4 linked regions of the Arabidopsis thaliana genome follow. The protein of the gene in region 1 interacts with the protein of each later gene in a pairwise test. Each region holds a gene or a part of one and is shown in the gene's direction. Other genes may lie near its edges.

Evidence for each region.
Region 2: the proteins of RABE1c (region 1) and PRA1.B4 interact in a two-hybrid assay, tested with the Arabidopsis thaliana proteins (one large-scale study listed by BioGRID).
Region 3: the proteins of RABE1c (region 1) and REP interact in a two-hybrid assay, tested with the Arabidopsis thaliana proteins (one large-scale study listed by BioGRID).
Region 4: the proteins of RABE1c (region 1) and BTI3 interact in a two-hybrid assay, tested with the Arabidopsis thaliana proteins (one large-scale study listed by BioGRID).

The regions. Positions count from the first base shown.
Region 1 is NC_003074.8:16,915,641-16,920,879, forward strand, and holds RABE1c (RAB GTPase homolog 8A), read left to right. Parts: upstream 1-1,886; 5' UTR 1,887-2,146; exon of another isoform or gene 2,147-2,262; 5' UTR 2,263-2,267; coding exon 2,268-2,340; intron 2,341-2,523; coding exon 2,524-2,596; intron 2,597-2,699; coding exon 2,700-2,800; intron 2,801-3,334; coding exon 3,335-3,400; intron 3,401-3,502; coding exon 3,503-3,600; intron 3,601-3,686; coding exon 3,687-3,749; intron 3,750-3,839; coding exon 3,840-3,932; intron 3,933-4,016; coding exon 4,017-4,100; 3' UTR 4,101-4,378; downstream 4,379-5,239. Other genes in the region: AT3G46050 (Galactose oxidase/kelch repeat superfamily protein), read left to right, coding at 432-1,544; AT3G46070 (C2H2-type zinc finger family protein), read right to left, coding at 4,805-5,239. UniProt on the Arabidopsis thaliana protein: Involved in membrane trafficking from the Golgi to the plasma membrane.
Region 2 is NC_003071.7:16,068,688-16,072,711, reverse strand, and holds PRA1.B4 (prenylated RAB acceptor 1.B4), read left to right. Parts: upstream 1-2,047; 5' UTR 2,048-2,209; coding exon 2,210-2,872; 3' UTR 2,873-3,326; downstream 3,327-4,024. Other genes in the region: AT2G38370 (weak chloroplast movement under blue light protein (DUF827)), read left to right, coding at 1-528; AT2G38365 (endonuclease/glycosyl hydrolase), read right to left, coding at 1,462-1,782; AT2G38350 (uncharacterized protein), read right to left, coding at 3,404-3,643. UniProt on the Arabidopsis thaliana protein: May be involved in both secretory and endocytic intracellular trafficking in the endosomal/prevacuolar compartments.
Region 3 is NC_003074.8:2,033,962-2,039,832, reverse strand, and holds REP (Rab escort protein), read left to right. Parts: upstream 1-2,041; 5' UTR 2,042-2,170; coding exon 2,171-2,886; intron 2,887-3,006; coding exon 3,007-3,129; intron 3,130-3,244; coding exon 3,245-3,344; intron 3,345-3,429; coding exon 3,430-3,468; intron 3,469-3,552; coding exon 3,553-3,805; intron 3,806-3,906; coding exon 3,907-3,982; intron 3,983-4,088; coding exon 4,089-4,281; intron 4,282-4,365; coding exon 4,366-4,449; intron 4,450-4,524; coding exon 4,525-4,632; 3' UTR 4,633-4,920; downstream 4,921-5,871. Other genes in the region: RWA2 (O-acetyltransferase family protein), read left to right, coding at 5-101, 192-425; AT3G06545 (uncharacterized protein), read right to left, coding at 856-932, 1,023-1,521. UniProt on the Arabidopsis thaliana protein: Substrate-binding subunit of the Rab geranylgeranyltransferase (GGTase) complex. Binds unprenylated Rab proteins and presents the substrate peptide to the catalytic component composed of the alpha subunit RGTA and the beta subunit RGTB.
Region 4 is NC_003076.8:16,633,832-16,638,694, forward strand, and holds BTI3 (VIRB2-interacting protein 3), read left to right. Parts: upstream 1-2,197; 5' UTR 2,198-2,398; coding exon 2,399-2,600; intron 2,601-2,817; coding exon 2,818-2,998; intron 2,999-3,077; coding exon 3,078-3,219; intron 3,220-3,303; coding exon 3,304-3,373; intron 3,374-3,462; coding exon 3,463-3,641; 3' UTR 3,642-4,077; downstream 4,078-4,863. Other genes in the region: AT5G41590 (LURP-one-like protein (DUF567)), read right to left, coding at 1-65; CHX18 (cation/H+ exchanger 18), read right to left, coding at 4,723-4,863. UniProt on the Arabidopsis thaliana protein: Plays a role in the Agrobacterium-mediated plant transformation via its interaction with VirB2, the major component of the T-pilus.

The DNA.
Region 1 (5,239 bases):
AACTTGGAGATGAGTAGACTAATTAATTTCAGTTTTTGAATTCGTTAGACTTGCGATTTATGAAATCAAAATCATCTTTCTTGACTTATCGTTATATGTGGCATTTACTCATTTTAGTCTCGTGCTCTTCTTGTTTGTTTTCTTAAAACATTTTAATATGTTTTTCATTTACAATGTTCATCAAAATACAAACAAATCTCTGAGGGAACTGTGAAAATTCGAAAAAGATTTTAGAAATACTGACAAAATAAGTTAAAATTCTAAGAAACAAAATTTAATAGTTTTCCTTCCAACAAGGTTTCTATGCTACATAGGTATAATTTTAGGTATTCTTCGTTAATAAATTTGAAGGAAATAACTAATAACGCACAAAAACCCTAAATCAAAAACCTAAGAAGACGTTTACCAGAAACAAAAAAACTAAGAAGACAATGACGACGAAAGAGAAGAATAAATCATCAAACTCACCGCCTCCGACGTCGTTTTCTTCGTTACCGGACGACATCGTTCTCAACTGTTTGGCTCGTGTCTCCAGATTCCATTATCCAACTCTATCCCTAGTCTGCAAGGGTTTCCGATCACTCCTAGACTCCCGTGAGCTCCACGCAACACGATCTTGCATCGGAAAAACCGAGAGTTTCCTCTACGTCTGCTTAGACCTGCATAGGAATTGCTATCCAGACTGTCCTCCACGATGGTTTATAGTTTCCCCGATTACCAAACAGAAACTGAAACCTATCCCTTCGGTTACTTGTCAATCCTCAACCGTTGTATCAATCGGTTCAAAGATTTACATAATCGGAGGCTTCGTTGATGGACATAGTAGCAGGAGATTGATAGTACTCGATTGTCCATCTCATGGATGGCGTAGACTCCCCGAGATGCGTGTACCTCGACAAAACGCAGCAGCTGATGTAATCAACGATAAGATCTACGTGATTGGAGGCTCTAGTTCCAACAATATCGAGGATTGGGGAGAGGTTTATGACCCAAAGACCCAAACTTGGGAGCCAGTATTGCCCACAACACTAGATCTTACTGTTCAAATGAGTGTGGTTCCAGGTAGCTTGGTAATGAGTGGGAAAGTTTATGACATGAATGGATTGAAGCTTAACTTTCAGAAGAATATTTGCTTGGTGGAGATAGAGAACATGATGTGCCAAACAAAGGTTTGTGAAGGGGTGTTAGTTTGGTGTGAACCAGAGGAAGATCGTGGGTGGTGTCCGGTTGATGGACTTGAAGGACTTCCCAATAGGCCAACTTCTCCTGGTTATCTTACCTCGGTGGCACATTCCGACCGAGGAAGAAGAGTAACAGTTTGGTGGGAGTCGGCTGTGTTACATCGTCTAGGTCCCAAATGGACTAAGGAATGTAAAACAGAGATTTGGTGTGCAGAGATTTCGTTTGAGAGACGCGGTGTTGGAAAGGTTTGTGGATTTGTTGAATGGTCTAAGAATGTCTTTACTAAGGATGACTACAAAACTTATAAGTTACCTGCTTCTCTTTCTGATTTCTTCTTGAATTCTACCATTGTGACATATTGATCAATGGAAGTTTATGTTAATTTTTGAGAGAGTTTTAAATTCTTTTGTGGGGATTTTGTTTAGAACATCTTGAGTATAGATTTTATGATAATGAACGAAAATACTGGTGGTGTTTATGTATCTCTAATAAATATGCAGTTGCGTAAGAACATAAACATCAACACACTTCTTATGAAAGAGTTATATATTGTTGAAAAGTATAGTTGTATAGTAGTAGTATATATTTCCAAAGATGACTTCAGATTACATTAGTATACAGTAGTAGTATTTGATACCAAATATAAAAATAAAAATTACTATAGCATTGTTTTAGTCCAGCTAATTGATTTTAAAGTAATTAATAAAAGGCCCATAAGGCTTCGTGCCTTCTTCTTTCTATATAGGCCCTTCAAAAAAGAATCCTTCTCTCTTTTTCTGCGCACTCCTTCGTTTCCAACTAACGTGCGCAGTGTATCCTATCGTGCACGCGAAGCAGACGAAGAAGAAGTAAAATAGAAGAAGCCGGGAAACAAAAGCTAAATCGGGAACTGGCGCATTTTAGTCGTCCGCCATAACCTTCGCTCTCTGATTCTTCCGATTACATCGGTTTTCTTCTCTCTCCGGTACATGATCTTCTTCTTTCCCGCAGCCGATTCATTCGATTTCTCCCTCTTTTGTTTGATCTAATTCGATTTCGATGAAACTCAGATTTTGATCTTTGAGTTTTTGTTTCCTTTAGATTCAATGGCTGCTCCACCTGCTAGAGCCAGAGCTGATTACGATTATCTCATTAAGCTTCTTTTGATTGGAGATAGCGGTACGTTGATCTGAAACCTCTCCGATGTTTTTATCGTCGATCCGTTGAAATTTGTTGAATCTGTTTGATTTCCATTGAATCGATCTATTCCACTGTGATTTTTGTTTGTGATTAGATCGTTGTGTGGATCGGTGTTTGTATTGAGAGATCTCTGTAACCTAAGGTTTTTTTTTTTTGTTGCAGGTGTTGGTAAAAGTTGTCTTCTTCTACGTTTCTCTGATGGATCTTTCACCACTAGCTTCATTACCACCATTGGGTTTGTGTTTTCTCTTTGCTTATGGAGATAAATTGAATTCTGTGATGTTTGTTTTGGATTCTGTTTTTACAGAGTCTTGTTTCTCTATTTTGCTTTGATGTAGCATTGACTTTAAGATAAGAACGATTGAGCTTGACGGTAAACGTATCAAGCTTCAGATTTGGGATACCGCTGGTCAAGAGCGGTTTCGGACTATCACCACTGGTGAGTTCATCTTTTTCATAAGAATTGCTTGCTGGATTAGTACTTAGAGCATTCACAACATCAGTAATGAATCAGATTAGATAGATTCTCGAGGAGATGAACACTTACATGTGCTATGATCTCTTGTACAATGCCACTTGACTGATTTATTTTGTTTGGCTGATTACTTTACTTGGTCTTGTATAGTTGATGTTTATGGGCTATTTTCGACACTTCATAGTTCATCTTTTCGTATAAATGTACTCACTGATCACTTTGCTTAGCATTCACCATCACAATAGAAGTCAAGTTAGAAAGATTGTCAAGATGAGATTGATGACAAACGCCTATAAGTAGTCTAAGATAGCCACTTATAGTTCTAGGTAAAGGGGATGCATTTGTGCAATGCCAATTTACTGATTTGCTCTTTTTGGCTGGTTACTTTTGTAGGTACTGTCTAGTTGATATTATTAGGATATTTAGGCAGTTTATACTGATCTGTTTCTGTTGTTTCAACACCATTTTGACGATTCTTTTTCTCTCGCATTTTCGCAGCTTATTACCGTGGGGCAATGGGCATTTTGCTGGTGTATGATGTCACAGACGAGTCATCCTTCAACAGTAAAACTCCCACCATCAAGTCTTTCACTTACTGGTTTCTATAAATCTCCTTAACCAAAATGAACATCTCTTTTACTAACACGATTCTTGACGTTATTGCAGACATTAGGAACTGGATTCGTAATATCGAACAGCATGCTTCGGATAATGTTAACAAGATCTTGGTAGGGAACAAGGCTGACATGGATGAAAGCAAGAGGGTATGAAGCACACCACCTTTATCCCTGTTCCTTATTCACGACTGATCCTAATAATAATAGCTTCTTGGTCCTGTCAAAATTTTCAGGCAGTACCTACAGCAAAGGGTCAGGCTCTTGCTGATGAGTACGGAATTAAGTTCTTCGAAACAGTAAGTCTAACAATGCTCTCAATCTTCGAAACTAGATGGGTAGTGTTTACATTGCTTACACATCTAGCTATATATGTGTTGTTGTTGCAGAGTGCCAAGACAAACCTAAACGTGGAAGAAGTTTTCTTCTCAATAGGGAGGGACATTAAGCAGAGGCTTTCAGACACCGACTCGAGGGCAGAGGTTTGTTACATCTCTCTCTTTCACATCTTTGCGTTGTTAGGTCTGAAAACGCATTGATCATTCATGTTACGTGGTCAATTGCAGCCTGCAACGATCAAGATAAGCCAAACGGACCAAGCAGCTGGAGCAGGGCAGGCCACACAGAAATCTGCATGCTGTGGAACTTAAAAAAGTTTTAAAAGTGAAGTTTAAGTCGAAAAAAGTTTGGGGGTGAAGTGAAAAACTAAGATATCGTTGGGTGCTTATGTAATTTTTTGTTTTATGCCAACAATTCTGATTCGTTCTTCTAAATTGTCCTTCCTATTTGTACGAAGGTTTAATCGAAACTTGTATTTTTCTTTTCTATTACTGATTTTTTATGACGGTGACTGAATTGTTTATGTTGGTCATCACTTCTCTCTATATATCCTCTGTTCTTAATTTTTCTCTTGCTTCCTCTTTTATCAAGTCTTTAAACATTACTTCTAATACTCGTAAACTCATCTTTGACACAACCATAAGCAATACAAAACCATAATATGTACACTGCCTGATTTATGAGTCGTAAACGTATAATTGTGTTAGCAATCCAGTGATGAAGAAACTTATCATGTTTTAGTTGCACTACAGTTACTATAGCTGACACTTATATTGTAGTTTCAACACCAGTTAAACCATTCTCATAGTTCAACAACATTCTAGGGTTAATAAAACGTGAAACCAAAATTTAGCGAACAAGAAAATAAATCTTGAATAGTATATCAGATTGTATTCAGATCATGTATTCACATCGAATAGTAAGATAAATGGATCAACAAAGACTAAAACCATGTAAAAAGTACTACTCTATGTAAGATTATCAATAAAACTAAAACCCTAACGAACATGAAAAATCAGTACATCGTTCTTCCCAACTCCAATTCCGTGTTGACAAAGCTCTCCACCGAAGTTAAGTCGAAATCCAAACACGCCACTCTCTTCCCACTACTCGATTTCTTCAAAGTCGTCACCGTTGTCGTCTCCGGCATGAAAGAATGCGTAACCAATACGTTAGAAGCCTTTTCTCGTTCTTTCTCGTTCCTATGTTTCCTCATGTGACCACCAAGAGCTTGTCCCATCGGAAACTCCAAGCCACAAATCGGACAAGTATGAGCCGTCGTCGTAGTCGTAGTTTTAGGCTTCTTCTTTGGTGATCCAGGAAGTGATTTATCGTCACTGTTGGTTAGTTTCGAGTGGCTTGCACGGTGGCCTCCTAAAGCTTGGAACGAATCGAAGTCTCTCTCACAAGTCTTGCATCGGAAAACACGTTTCTTTCTTCCGTCGTGTTC
Region 2 (4,024 bases), on another chromosome or scaffold:
TTGGAGGAAGCTGTGGAGAGAGTTGACGCTGCAAATGCTTCGAAGATCGAAGCAGAAGAGGCGCTGCGAAAATGGCGGTCAGAGAATGGACAGAGGAGAAGATTATCTTCTTCGGTGAACAACACTTCCAAGTTCAAGAGCAGAAGAGAGACAACAACACGTCTGATGGATGTAAACGGTCTGCATCTGACATACGATGTTGTTGACGGGTCATCATCTTCTTCAACGGTCCCAGTCTTGAAACCAACAATGTCAATAGGACAAATACTGAGCAAGAAGCTACTTCTTGCAGAGGATTCAGATATGAATGTTGCTAATGAGAGAAGAAAAATGTCGTTGGGTCAGATGCTTGCAAAGAATAGCAGTAGTGATAAAACTGTAAGCAAGAGAAGTGAAGGGAAAGAGAATGAGAAAAGGACGAAGACTCGAAAGAGAAAGAGTTTCGGATTTGCTAAGATCTCTGTGTTGTTGAACAAAGAGAGCAAGAACAAGAAGAAGAAGAAAAAGATAGCTTTGAACTTAAGGTGATATTTTGAATCTGTTGATGACTTCTTTCTGTTTTGTACGTGAACCAGTAGTTTAAGAAAACAAAGTGTATCATCAAGTGCTTTATTATAATGCTAATCTAGGCTAATTAATCCCAATACGACCATATTAGCATTGACAGAGAAACGAAACAGAGAAGATGATGAAGTATGGAATTTTTCAGTAACTTAATTCTATTACAAAGCTTCTTTTATACTCTGAGAGTTAATATGTATACATAGAACAATCAGTTAAGAGACTAACTAAATCATCATATGACTCAAGGGACTAACAAACTTATCATTTTAAACTGAGGTAGTATCTAATATCCAATGAGACTTGGAACATGATTAGGAAACAATGGTTTTGTAAACACATCTCCTAGTTAATTCTCTCTTCGTAAGTGTAGAGCCATGATCAAAGTAGCTTGGATTCTTCTTCTCACAATATGACTTTGGTGCGTTAATGAAACAATGGATTGTTGTTGGCAATGTGTATAGCTGCAGTAGTAGCCACATATGATATAGCATTGACAAATTGCCAAAACACTTGACTCTGCATTCGCCTCTGTTTTGGCCAACTCTCTGACACCTCTTTAAGCCACAAAACCATTGTAGTAGACAAGAGATTTAAATGACTTACATCTCAAGAAATCAACAAGACTGCCTAATCAATAACGCATTGATCAAAACTACTGAGACTTTCCATCAGCTTTTCATTGAAAGAAAACAAACTGAAAGATTTGAATAAAAGAGTTAAAAGAGTTCACTCCCAAGTCCCAATCACCAACCTCCATGTCCCAGAAGACGCCAATCTCAGCCGCGGCGAAATCTCTTGTGGAGCCGGGAGCGAGACATGGTTATTGGTGTTCTCTGTGTTGAAGATGACTCACCCACCTTTGTGTAATCCTCTGTCTCATAACCATCATCGTTTCTGTTATTGGTTAACTGAAGTCTCCCCTTGAACTGAAGTACTTGTCCACTTCTTGGTGACCAGTTGTGAGATCCCACGATTGAAGATAGGCTTTCCTCCATATGATAGGCTTGTCCAAAGCCACACTGCAGTTACTTGACTAAGAAGCGATTGTGATAAATCATCATCATGAGCCAAGTTCTCAGGCTGAGCTAAGAGAATATTCCCAGTCCTGCTTTTCATCATAAACGAAAGACACTTGACGTACGAGCAGTCATCTGTGATTTTGCTTGAGATTACCATGAGATTAGTTGGTATACGTGTCCGGTCAACTGTCCATAACATAAGCTCCTCCAAAAATCATAGAATGTATCCATTACCTTAATAAATCTTGATTAAATAGTAATATACCGTTATCGGAAAAATAAAATTCAATATAATAGTTTCATTCACTTTTAAAATTTTGGAAAAAATAGATATAAATATAAAACTCTTTAACATTTATCTCCCTAAAACACGAGATTTAACCTAATATAGATCATAATTAAATCAAATAATAATAGGAAAACCAAAAAGGAAAAGAGTCACGTTTATTGTCGGTGACCCGTAGCAACGAAAGAAATAGGAAGGTCAACAATTTTCTCATACCCGTATATAAAACAAATCTATCTCTCCTTCCCTCTTTAATTTATTAATCAGATCTTGCCCAATTCTTCAATTTCTTCAACCCTAATTCTTCTCTCTTTCTCAGATCTACCAAACTTGATCTCCAATGGCTTCCTCAGCACCACCAGTCCTCCCAATCTCCAATCCCCAAACCGTTCCATCCGCCGCTCCTTCCTCCGTCGAATCTCAACCACCGATCGCTACTCCAGCTTTCCGCAATTTCATCAATCAGATCACCGAAACCGTTAAAAACGGTCTCTCTAAGCGTCGTCCTTGGGCTGAGCTCGCGGATCGTTCCGCATTATCCAAACCTGAGTCGATCTCCGACGCTGCTGTTCGTATCCGCAAGAATTACTCGTATTTCAAGGTTAATTACCTCACCGTCGCTACAGCGATCGTCGGATTCTCTCTCGTCACTCATCCTTTCTCTCTCGTCTTCCTCCTCTGTCTCCTCGCGTCGTGGCTCTTCCTCTACTTGTTCCGTCCCACGGATCAGCCGATCGTTCTATTCGGTCGTACATTCTCCGATCGTGAGACGTTAGGGTGTTTGATTTTGTTCAGTATCTTTGTGATCTTCCTCACCGATGTTGGATCTGTTCTGGTTTCGGCTATGATGATTGGTGTTGCGTTGATCTGTGCTCATGGTGCTTTTAGAGCTCCGGAAGATCTTTTCCTTGATGAGCAAGAGCCTGCTGCTACCGGATTCCTCTCTTTCCTCGGTGGTGCCGCCTCTTCAGCCGCGCCTGCTGTTATCGCCGCTCGCGTGTAAATGCGATTCCGATCTACCATTCCCTCGCCTGGGTAAATCTTTCTATATGATTCATTTGTTGAATTTGATACTTAGATTTTGTTTTTTTAATCTGAAAACAATAAACGTGAAAATGTTGTGGATCTGGCCTAATTTTGGTTCTTGTTCATGGGCAATAGCTATAGATGAAATATATATCTTTGCATGATTTTGATTTGATGAAGTTTTACTACCGTTTTGTGTTAATCTTTAGCCTTTTTTAATTTACAAGTGTTGTTTTGGAAGATATGGATTTATTTCATGATCAAATTCAAAATGCAATGGATCTGTTTATTAGAACTTGTAGCCATCTTTTGATTTGTTATGTGACTACATTGCACTGCGTGTATACAATCAAAAGAGTCAAATTTGGATGCATGTGCATGCAAGATCCATCCAAATTTCACCAGTTTTCAAAAGCACCCATCATAAGACAGACCTGGATCAGAGTCGTAGGATTTAACGAAAGGAAATTACTTCCTATTGAGGATGAGCAGCAGAACAATATCCACATTACGCATTTACGCTACTTGACTTGACTTGAAATCGTGGGTCGGAGCAAATGCGATGCACAAATAATTCGATGAGCAGCTTTAGTATTGGGCTTCGTACTCGAGTCCGGCCCAGTATAAGCTCATTTACTTCTTTTCGAGTCCAGTTCGGCAAAGGCCCAATGTCTATGAAATATCGAATTGGTGGCGTATACCCTAAGCCAACAAGGAAGCTTCGTTTTAAAAATGATTTGTTACTTACCTAAAATTAATAGTATTGGGTGACAATCCACCTTACATTCTTATCTTTTTAAGGGTTTTAGCTTACGGTATAAGTCACCAATTTGACATCTTCCATCAACGAAAATTAGTAAATTACAAAAAAGTACAAAGTCTTAGTCGCAAATATCTCTATAACCAAAAGCAAAGCAATATCCTAAGTTGTATTGACCTCGGAAACTAGAATCTCCTTGAACTTGGGATTTGTCAATGCCAGTGACTTAGAAATTGTTCTTTGCGAAGGCAAAAGCTACAGTTTGTTAGTTGGCGCGCAATTTGAGCTGGGAAGAGTCCAATGAGAGTACCAAAAGTCTCGGACTAAACGTCTTCAAAAAAGTAACCATGGAATAATAATTTATTTTTA
Region 3 (5,871 bases), about 15 Mb from region 1:
ACAGATCTGGAGTTCCTGATGGTCAACCCAAATTACTACTATCTCTTGTCCCGGATTACCCATTGTTGAACTTCATGCTCACTACTTCGATTTACGTCGCTGTAAGCAAACCCTGCTACAACAGATAGAAACAAGTTGAAAGCCAGACAGATACAAACAAACTGATTGGCTTTTTGTTGCTCTGTTTTCAGATCTCTTATAGGCTCTTTGAGCTTACCAACACTTTGAAAACAGCCTTCATACCAACCAAGGACGACAAACGCCTTGTCTACAACACGATCTCAGCACTCATAATCTGCACTTGTCTCTACTTTTTCTCATTTATTCTTATCACAATTCCCCAAAAACTGGTAAGTCAAAATTTTATCTTTTTGTGTGGGAGAAAGCTTTTTTTTCCCTGGTACTTGAGTTCATTGATATGTTAGTGCATACACAAAGCGAGGACGAATGTCATCCTCTCATATTCGATTGAACCATCTCACGTTTTATTATTTCACTGGAAACAAACAGGTGTGAAGCACTTCTGAACCGGACCAGAGTGGACTATTCGAATGAATTCATAGGAGTTGAACTACGCGATATGGTAGATATACGAAGATAGAAATCAGAGGTAGATGCATACAATGTTGCTGTAATGTCATCTTTCTGTATATTTATTTATGAATAAGGTGTTCTTTCTTGTTTATTTGTGTTTCTGTTCACGATGATGTTAAGACTTATTATTGTCTATTACAAGTTAAAGGAAATCCATATGAGTAATTGTATAGCTATAAAATCCAGATTAATCTTACATCAAAGTAAAATATGATGGACTTGCAAAAGCCATTACTTTAATGTAAGGAAACATTGATATACTTAGATAGAAAGTGTAGTCATAGCATGTGTGTCAAGCTTGTCCTCTATTGCTCGGTAGGCAGAGAAAGTGTCCGAGTCTTCCCATTTGGAGAAATTATACGCGGGCCCAAAGGAAAGCAAAAAATGAGGTACTGATATTAAAAACAATAACAGTACCTTATAGTCACCCCGGTATAGATTGTTAGACATGCTAAAGAGACAAGATAACCAACCGAGGAAGAGCGTGTACAAAGCATGTCCGATCTCCATCCTAAACTTATCCGATAGCTGAATCAGCCCTAACCCTCCGGTGAACAACGAGATGGTGAATAACGACATGGACAATTCAAACTCTTTGTTTGTCAATAGCTCATATATTAAGGGCAATGCCAACGCTAAATTTGCGGAAAATGTCGAAAACAAAACCTGAGGTACTCTCTCCAACTTTGTAGTAAACTCCTTGTAGCAAGCGGAAGGAGGAGCGGTGAAAAAAAGATATCTGAGTAGCGTCACTGCGTAGAATGTTGTGACACTGACCGCACCGTCCCTAAAGGACTGAGACGATGAATCTCCAGGTGGCCAGAGAAGATTGAGTGATTTGGAGAGGCCAAAAAGTGAGAGTAGAGTCATTATATACCATATTCCTCTGCAAACAAACACATCCATATCACTAATCTTCTTCTCCATCGTGTGTGTGTTTTTACTAGGACTATGGGGTTTCGGAGATTTAATAGTCGTCGTGAATTCGTTTTTCGATTTCTTTTATTTAGTTAGTTAAATCTGCTTTTATCCAGAAGAATGTGGTATATCTCTATTATTAGTTAAAAGTGGTTAGAAGATTTTCATAATCACAACAAACAAAAGAAATCTTCGCAATCTTTATCTAACACTTTTTTTTTTCAAGATATATAAAATTCTTTTATATTCAACAAAGAAAATAGTTCAAAAAATCACATTATAAGTGGACCACTGACCAGTAAAGTGAACGAAGAAAGTATAAACTCTATTTTCTTCAATTAAACCGTTTATATAAAAAAAAAAATCATATTTTAAGTTTCTAACATAAGAAAAACAGTAGACCCTATAGTCTATGCGTTGATTAAGAAGATGGGCCATGTTGGGCCGATTCACACTTACCTCTTTTATTCATTTACATCTTAGGCCCATTACGTTTGTATATGTAATGTAAGAAGAAACTTCTTCTTCTCTTGAACCTCTTCCTCGATTCTCCTCACTCATCTCAACATCTTCCCAGATTATTCAACGCTCGTGTATCGATCAAGCTACTGAAGTCACGTTGGTTCGACTTTTGATACACAAATCTGTTCGAGCCACCATGATCGACATCCCTCCTTACCCGCCGCTTGATCCTTCCAACTACGATCTCATTGTCGTCGGCACCGGAGTCTCTGAGTCCGTCTTAGCCGCCGCTGCTTCCTCCTCCGGTAGTTCTGTTCTCCACCTCGACCCTAACCCCTTCTACGGCTCTCACTTCGCCTCTCTTTCCCTTCCCGATCTCACTTCTTTCCTTCACTCAAACTCCGTTTCTCCTCCTCCGTCGCCGTCATCTCCTCCTCTCCCTCCGTCAAACAACCATGATTTTATCTCCGTGGATCTCGTTAACCGATCCTTGTATTCCTCCGTGGAGATTTCGAGCTTCGAATCGGAGATCCTCGAAGAACACTCTAGAAGATTCAACGTTGACTTGGCTGGTCCTAGGGTTGTCTTCTGTGCCGATGAATCAATTAATCTCATGCTGAAATCAGGAGCTAACAACTACGTTGAGTTCAAGAGCATCGATGCCAGCTTCGTTGGGGATTCGAGCGGTGAGCTACGAAATGTGCCGGATTCGAGAGCTGCTATATTCAAGGACAAGAGCTTGACTCTGTTGGAGAAGAATCAGCTCATGAAATTCTTCAAGCTTGTTCAAAGTCACTTGGCTTCTTCTACCGAAAAAGATGATTCAACAACAGTCAAGATATCGGAGGAAGATATGGAGAGTCCATTTGTGGACTTCTTGTCAAAGATGCGTTTACCACCCAAAATCAAATCGTATAACCTCCTTCTCTGTTAATGGCAGCTCTTTGGACATTTGTCTCTGCTTAATGCTTCTTAGAATTTTGTCTCTGAAATGTTGATAGGTAAGGCTTTGTTTCCTCTTCTTCTGTGTAGGATCATCTTGTATGCCATTGCGATGCTAGATTATGATCAAGACAATACGGAAACTTGTAGACATTTACTCAAGACCAAAGAGGGGATAGATCGATTGGCTCTATACATCACATCTATGGGCAGGTCATTCATCATTTTCTCATTCCTGGCTCTTACACATTTGTGATCATCTTTCTTATTGGTTTACATTATCATTGGTTATATTGAGTATAATTTAGCTTTTGATTCTCTACCTTAGGTTTTCTAACGCACTTGGGGCGTTGATATACCCAATTTATGGACAAGGAGAACTTCCACAAGCCTTTTGTCGTCGGGCTGCTGTCAAAGGATGTATCTATGTACGTTTGGAACAATTTTCTGCATTGTGTACTGTGTTGCTGTTGTGGTATTTGTTACTTATTTAGTCTTTCATTGTTTTCACAGGTTCTCCGGATGCCTATTACTGCTCTGCTTTTAGACAAGGCAAGTTAGCTGACAGTTGTAGCATAAGATAAGTTTAGTTGACGGAAAGGATTCTTACTTGATTATTTTAAACTCTTTTTGCAGGAAACTGGGGGTTACAAAGGGGTTAGATTAGCTTCTGGTCAAGAGATATTCAGCCAAAAGTTGATTCTGGATCCATGTGTTACTGTTGGATTAGAGTCTCTGTCGTCATTGACAGATCAGCAAAATGAAACTCTCAGTGTTCTTGTCCCAAAGTCGATGATCAATAAGGAGAAAATTGCAAGAGGAGTATGCGTCATTAGAGGTTCTGTGAAAGCTAATGTATCAAACGCTCTTGTCGTTTATCCACCTAAATGTAAGCTAATTTTTGAAGACCCACTAGTTAGTTGTTTCACTTACATGTATATCGTCTTTTGCGTTTTGAAGGTTCTAACATTAATAGTTTTTTCCTCTTAGCTTTGTTTCCAGAACAGCTAACTGCAATTCGGGTTCTGCAGCTTGGTAGTGGTTTAGCGGTTTGTCCTGCTGACATGTAAGTTGTGGTTTAGCCTAAGATGATCTTTTCCCATTTTAGTTCTGTTTCTTTCCATTTGCTTAGCTTTAACTGTTCTCTAAGCCATATATATTTGCTGCTGCAGGCATGTTTTATATCTTTCAACTTTGTGCGACAATGATGACCAAGGGATAAAGGCGCTATTATCAGCCATGAGTAATCTCATCAGTTTGCCTGTTCCCGAGAATCGTCAAAGCGATTCCGTTGTTGAGAATGATACTTCTGAGACAAAACCTATTCTACTCTGGAGAGCACTGTACGTGCAAGAGCTAGTCAAGGTGGAAAATGTGATTGGGAATTTACCTTTTCATTTCGACGTTGGTAATGTCATTTTCACTAAATAAAAGTTTGATTTGGATCAGGGTGAATTTGGAGGTACGATCAGTTCCATGCCTAGTCCAGATGGAAACTTGAACTACAATGAGATAGTGGAATCAGCCGTGAAGGTTAGTAGAAGCTCCTTACAGCAGTTATCTCATTAAGTTATGGTTTTGATAATGTTATCATATTGGATTTGGTAGCTATATGAAAAGCTCATGGGGAGTGAAGAATTATTTAAAGAAGAGACCTCACCGGCGGAGAACACAACGGAGGAGGAAAACGATGGTGGTGTTGAAATAGAAGATTGATTGATGAATGAAACCATTGGTTTTAAAGACTTAGAATACCCATTTATTTATTTGATTGTAACATATAGTTACCCCGTTATTAGAGGGGAAGCAGGAAGATTGGCAGAGGGAGGGTGAGCCATTTTCTTTACTTATTCACTAGAGAGCAACTATGATTAGGGAAGAAATAAAGGATTGAGAAGAAGTGATTAATCCACGACCGCTTGTCTAACCATTGAAACTCCACAAACTTTAAATCAACGACTAAAAAGAAATAATGAATTTGTATAGAAATTAATTTATTCAGACATCTTTTACCGATCACAACCATAATCGTTCTATGTTTCTCTTTGAATAAACACTTCCGATTTCGTATATTTCGACTCCAATTCTGATTTTCATGGCCAAGTCCAGAAACTTAAAAAATCAAGGAAGATATCATTATCGACTAGGAAATTTGACTTTGAAGTCAAGATTAAGAATTTGAATGCTTTTTTCGAGATCGTTGGGTTAATGTTATCATATGTAATGTGGTGCCAAGCTCTCATTATGAGGCCCAATTATGAGGGTTTGGTTATTCTCTGGAGAGAATCGTCAATCGTTTATCCAATCCCAAAGGTTGACACTTGACAGAATTTAAAGCCCATTGGGTCTGAATTAGCGTCGGAATTGGACCCGAAATAATTCTATCAATTAAAGATTAAAACAGAACTACACGCGTGTAGGAATTTAAAATACAAAACCACTCGCATCACAGGCGCGTTTCGGCGCGTGAGACTATAATCCGTGGACTATAACCCTCCTTTTCGGGGATTTTTGCATAAATTTAAAATTGAAAAGACTTGCAGCGCGTGGGACGAGATTTCATTTGTTGTATAACTTATTGTTCACGACTAGTTTTTTTTTTTTTTTTTTTGCCTAAAGGTCTTTCTATTGACTTTTTATCATAAAATGGAACATTACAAAATAGGTCAAGCCCAACTAGATGATTACAAAATTTTAAAACTGAAACTAAAAAGGCCCAACCCCAATAAAGGGATACCAAACCCAACTTGAAGAGAGGCATGAAAGCTAAAAGGATTAGACCAAAAGCCCAAACCACTATAGTTTATTTACATGAGAATATAACAAGACGAAAAGAACTATTACCGTGTGTTATCTTCTGCTCAGATTATGGTCCGAAATTATTGTTATCGATTCTTGATTCAGATTAAAAATGAGGTAAAACTGTAAAGAATTTCTGAATTGTGATTTTGAGGT
Region 4 (4,863 bases), on another chromosome or scaffold:
TCTGTAGATGACGGTGCATCTTCACCGTGGACCGACCTCGACCGTTGCTTCAAGAAAGGGAACATTTTTGTAGTTTTGGTGTTCTTGGTTAACTATTTTAAGAGAGTTTTACAGATCTAATTAATCTCAATTCTCAATACAAATATGGTAAGGTTAGGTATACATATGAGATATATATATATAGATCTAATATATATGTGTGTGGATGAAAGATATTAGCTTTGTTATATTATATCATTGTCTTATTATATTATAATTTTTTTCTTCTTTATATCAACTTGCAAAGTTTTTAAATATCGCTACTTGATATTTAAATGCGACCACAAATAATACTTAGTGACAAAACTGTACTATTCTACAAAATATAAAAATAAGAATTTCACCTAAAAAGCTTTAAACGTTTTATTAATTATGAGTCAAAATTTTTAGTGTTATTTGAAAAATAATACAATATGATAAGATATTATACCATTCTATAAGTTAATTAGAATTTTTTTTAAGTTAATGAATACAGGTCATTAGATTTTTTTTTATCACATTACAAATACAAATTTAACGTACGTAACATTTACATTTAGTGGACTAGAACTCAAATCACCCTATTACAGCTTGCATATATAGTAAATTGTTTTTGTTTTATAAGTCCAAAAGGATTAGTCTAAATTACATTGTTTGGTTATCAAAGAAATTAAAATAAAAAATTAGATAAAATTAATCGAAAATGAAAACTTAACATGAAGGTTGAAATCTCCAAATTATTTACTCATCCTTTTTACCAAACTCAAATATGATATTTTTTTCTATACGTAAAACTCAAAATTGTATATACAAGAAATTTAGCTATCTAAAAATAACTATATAATAAGCCATTATAGTAAGCCACAATTTTGACCATCTACGATCTTTTCTTTTGTACGTAGTAAGGTTTGGTGCAAACTTTTGCAAGTAATTAGTATATAGCTCTTATGGATATGGTATATTCCTGATATGAACTCTGATTGGGTAATGATTAGCACTTAGCAAGGTAGTCAGATTTTTGGCTTTGGCACGCATGGGTTTCACTGTTTCAGGATTGAATTGGAATTTTTTTTTGATTAATTAATGTATAATATTTTATACAATATAAAAATATATTACTGTATTAGGTAAGAACTTTACGACAAAAAAAAAAAAATAGGTAAGAACTTTAAGATTATGCAAGGGTCTTAAAACGAGCCACGTAATCTTCTTAGACCCACGATAGTAGATTTTTGAGGTCTCCAAGAATCTCTTATCCTTTTTGTCATCGAATCTCTCTCTCTTTCTGAAGATATATTAAGAAACAAATCTCTCTTTTTCTTCGAAAAGGTTGGTTAGGTGAAGGACAATTCTCATCCACACGATTAGATGCATAAAATTATATATATAAGAAGAAAATCTAATTATATGAAATGGTGGAATTTCATGTCACACTAGACGACGAATCTTCCATATTAAACTCACTTCTAACACTGCATGTGTATGTAATTATGTATATGAATGAATATCCAAATAGAATAATATATTTGGACTAATCAAATTATTGGAAAAGTACATAAATAAATAAGTGAGCTTTCATTGTCAAACCTGATTTTGTTGATCTCTGGGTTTGCCATTACTCCAAAAAATCTTACCTTCAAGAGTGATGTCGACACAGTGGAGCACACGTGTTGTAACACGTGTCATGACTCAGCTCAAAATTGGATCCCACGGAAGAAGTTAGATCTCGAGGCCAAGAGACCAGAGTCATCAATTCAAACCCCACGTGCGTGAGAGTCACTGACTATTCTCCTCTTATCTTCCGGGTCTTCGAAATCCAATATCTCCAAAACGCAGCGTCTTGGTTAATTTTTGAGATGTCAATATATATAATCTGTGACCTTGTAATGTTTAATCAACAGGTGTATGATCATCTTTCATCTAGGAGCATTTTCATTCTATCAACATATTCTCATAACAATTTTACTATGCCTAACAATTTTTTATTTTTACTATGAAATGGATCAGTAATAAATGGGCCTTAATACTGTACCAACAATCCCATAAATGGGCCCAATGCTGGATCCTATCCGCCGACATCTAACGTTCCACTAACGGAGACGTTATCGGGAATATTCACATTAATTAACGACCGTTAGTTCCACGCCAAATATGTTACATCTGCTACAAAATAAATAGTTTGATTTTCCACCGTGGACGGTTACCTACTCGAGGCCCAGACCCGAATCAAACGGACTGGATTAAATGTTTTAAATCAAGGGGTGGGATTAAATCTGAAGCACACGCTTTTATTCGTCACAGTCTCCTCCCACACTCTTCAATCAGTAAAGAGTTTTAGGTTTTTTTTTCTTCTTCTCGGAGGTTTGTAGAATCAACAAAAATGGTGGAAGACCACAAGCACGAGGAATCGATCTTGGAGAAGATTGTTGAGAAGATCCATGGCCACGGTGACTCGTCTTCTCTGTCCGATTCCGACGACGATAAGAAATCTACATCGTCTTCGTCGTCGTCCTTCAAGTCAAAGATTTACCGACTTTTCGGAAGGGAGAAACCTGTTCACAAGGTTCTCGGTGGTGGAAAACGTATGGATCTATCTCTATTTCTTCACTTTGAACTCTGATTTTACTCGATTTTGTATCTTACATAGTGATTTTGCTCGATCTAGTGAATGTTGCTCTAATTTGAAGCTAAAATTGAGTGTATTTGAGTGCTTAATTGTCTGCTTTGCTCGAAAGTACGCTTAAATCTTGTGAAATACTCAGAAACTATGTTGAATCTGGATTCATTGTTTGCATGTAGCTGCTGATATATTCCTTTGGAGGAACAAGAAGGTATCTGGTGGAGTCTTGGGTGCTGTAACTGCGTCTTGGGTCTTATTCGAGTTATTCGAATACCATCTCCTCGCTTTTCTCTGTCACTTTGCGATTTTTGCTCTTGCAGCATTGTTCTTGTGGTCTAATGCTTGTACATTCATCCACAAGTATGTTCTTACAACATCCCTTATATGTTAAGTGTTAAGTATGAGATAACTGCCTGATCAACTGAGTTCTTATCCTCAGGTCAACTCCTCACATCCCGGAAGTTCACATCCCTGAAGATCCTATTCTTCAACTTGTTTCTGGATTAAGGATTGAAATCAATCGTGGTTTGACCCTTCTTAGGAACATTGCATCAGGAAAAGATGTCAAGAAATTTATCCTGGTATTGTTCATGTTATCTACCTCGATGCAAAGCGGTTTTCTTATGTTCCTCATAAATGCTAATACTTGCTTGCACATGTTTTAGGTAATTGCTGGCTTGTGGGTTTTGTCCATTATTGGCAGCTGCTACAACTTCTTGACATTGTTCTACACTGGTAACGATTCATTTACATCTTACTGCATTTAATCTGATAGGAATCATACTTGCATATCTTGATAACCAGCTTTTCTTTCTTGCTTCCAGCTACTGTCCTTCTCTTCACCATTCCTGTACTCTACGAGAAGTATGAGGACAAAGTAGATGCCTATGGGGAGAAGGCGATGAGGGAGATCAAAAAGCAATATGCAGTACTTGATGAGAAGGTATTGCGTAAGGTCATAAGCAAGATTCCAAGAGGAGCTCTGAACAAGAAGAAGGATTAAGGAATGTGAGTTACTCTCTCATTGGAATCGTAGTAATGGTTCAAGACATGTTTTGTTAGAAGCTGTTGGTTGATAAACCCTTTGATCTCTTGTTATTATTATGTTCATTATAAATTTGGGGGTTTTAACTAAAAATATTTAGATTATGAGAGAACACGGATGGATGATAATTATTGTTGTTAGTTATTTGTCTTAGTTAATTTCTCATCCTTTTAACAGCTCTCCATGATGGTATTCGTCATGTCAATTTTGCATCATGTCTGAGGATTGGTCCATACACATAAACTCAAATTGTTTCGTGGGTTTTTCGCTCTTCACTGCTACTGCGATCTAACTTTAGTTCATAAGAATCTTTCTTGTTTTTATTTGACTAATAATATTCTTCCCATTCCATCTCTTTCATCATCTCAACATCTTGTTCATAGGAAAAGCTAAAATGATTGGTATATGAACTAGGTTAAACGCAATTTGATAATTTTCCAAAAAAATTTGTTCATAATTCTTTTGCCAAAATTGCGATTTCACGATTTCTCGACAAAAATAATCACACAAAAAGTGGATTCCACAATACCAAACGCTTTCGGTATGATAACCATCAAATCTGGATAATTACTTAAAGTAAGCAACATACGTAAGGTAGACAACTAGGTGTTAATCACTATATATAGTTTGTAGTAGAAAACAATATCAAAAGTCAGGATGGCCGAGTGGTCTAAGGCGCCAGACTCAAGTTCTGGTCCTCGTAAGAGGGCGTGGGTTCAAACCCCACTTCTGACATTTCTGTTTTTAGTTTTATGTTCAATGACTGGATTTTTAAATTTATTATTTTTCCGATTAAAGTAGATAACTTTTTTTACAACAACCATTATTTTTTTTTTTGTCATCATTTAACCATTTACTTTCAAAAGCAAAAAAACTTAAAGATGAACAGTGACGACAAAAAAGAAAGAAAAGATGAAACAGTGAAAGCCAAGTACAGTCATTTTGATTAAACCGTATTCATTAACCAACTTTTCACTAACTATGGTAAACCAACCCCTGACCCGAACCGAACCGTTCTTGTTTTTAACCAATGATTCATTCAATCAGAGTCTTTATCCGTAGAAGTCAATACCTCCGTCTCAGCCGCACCCAAATCCGGAGCTATTCCGGTGCCGTTGTACTGCTGAATCACCAAAACCGATGCTTTTGTCGAAGATTCCGGCGAAATCAACAAGCTTCC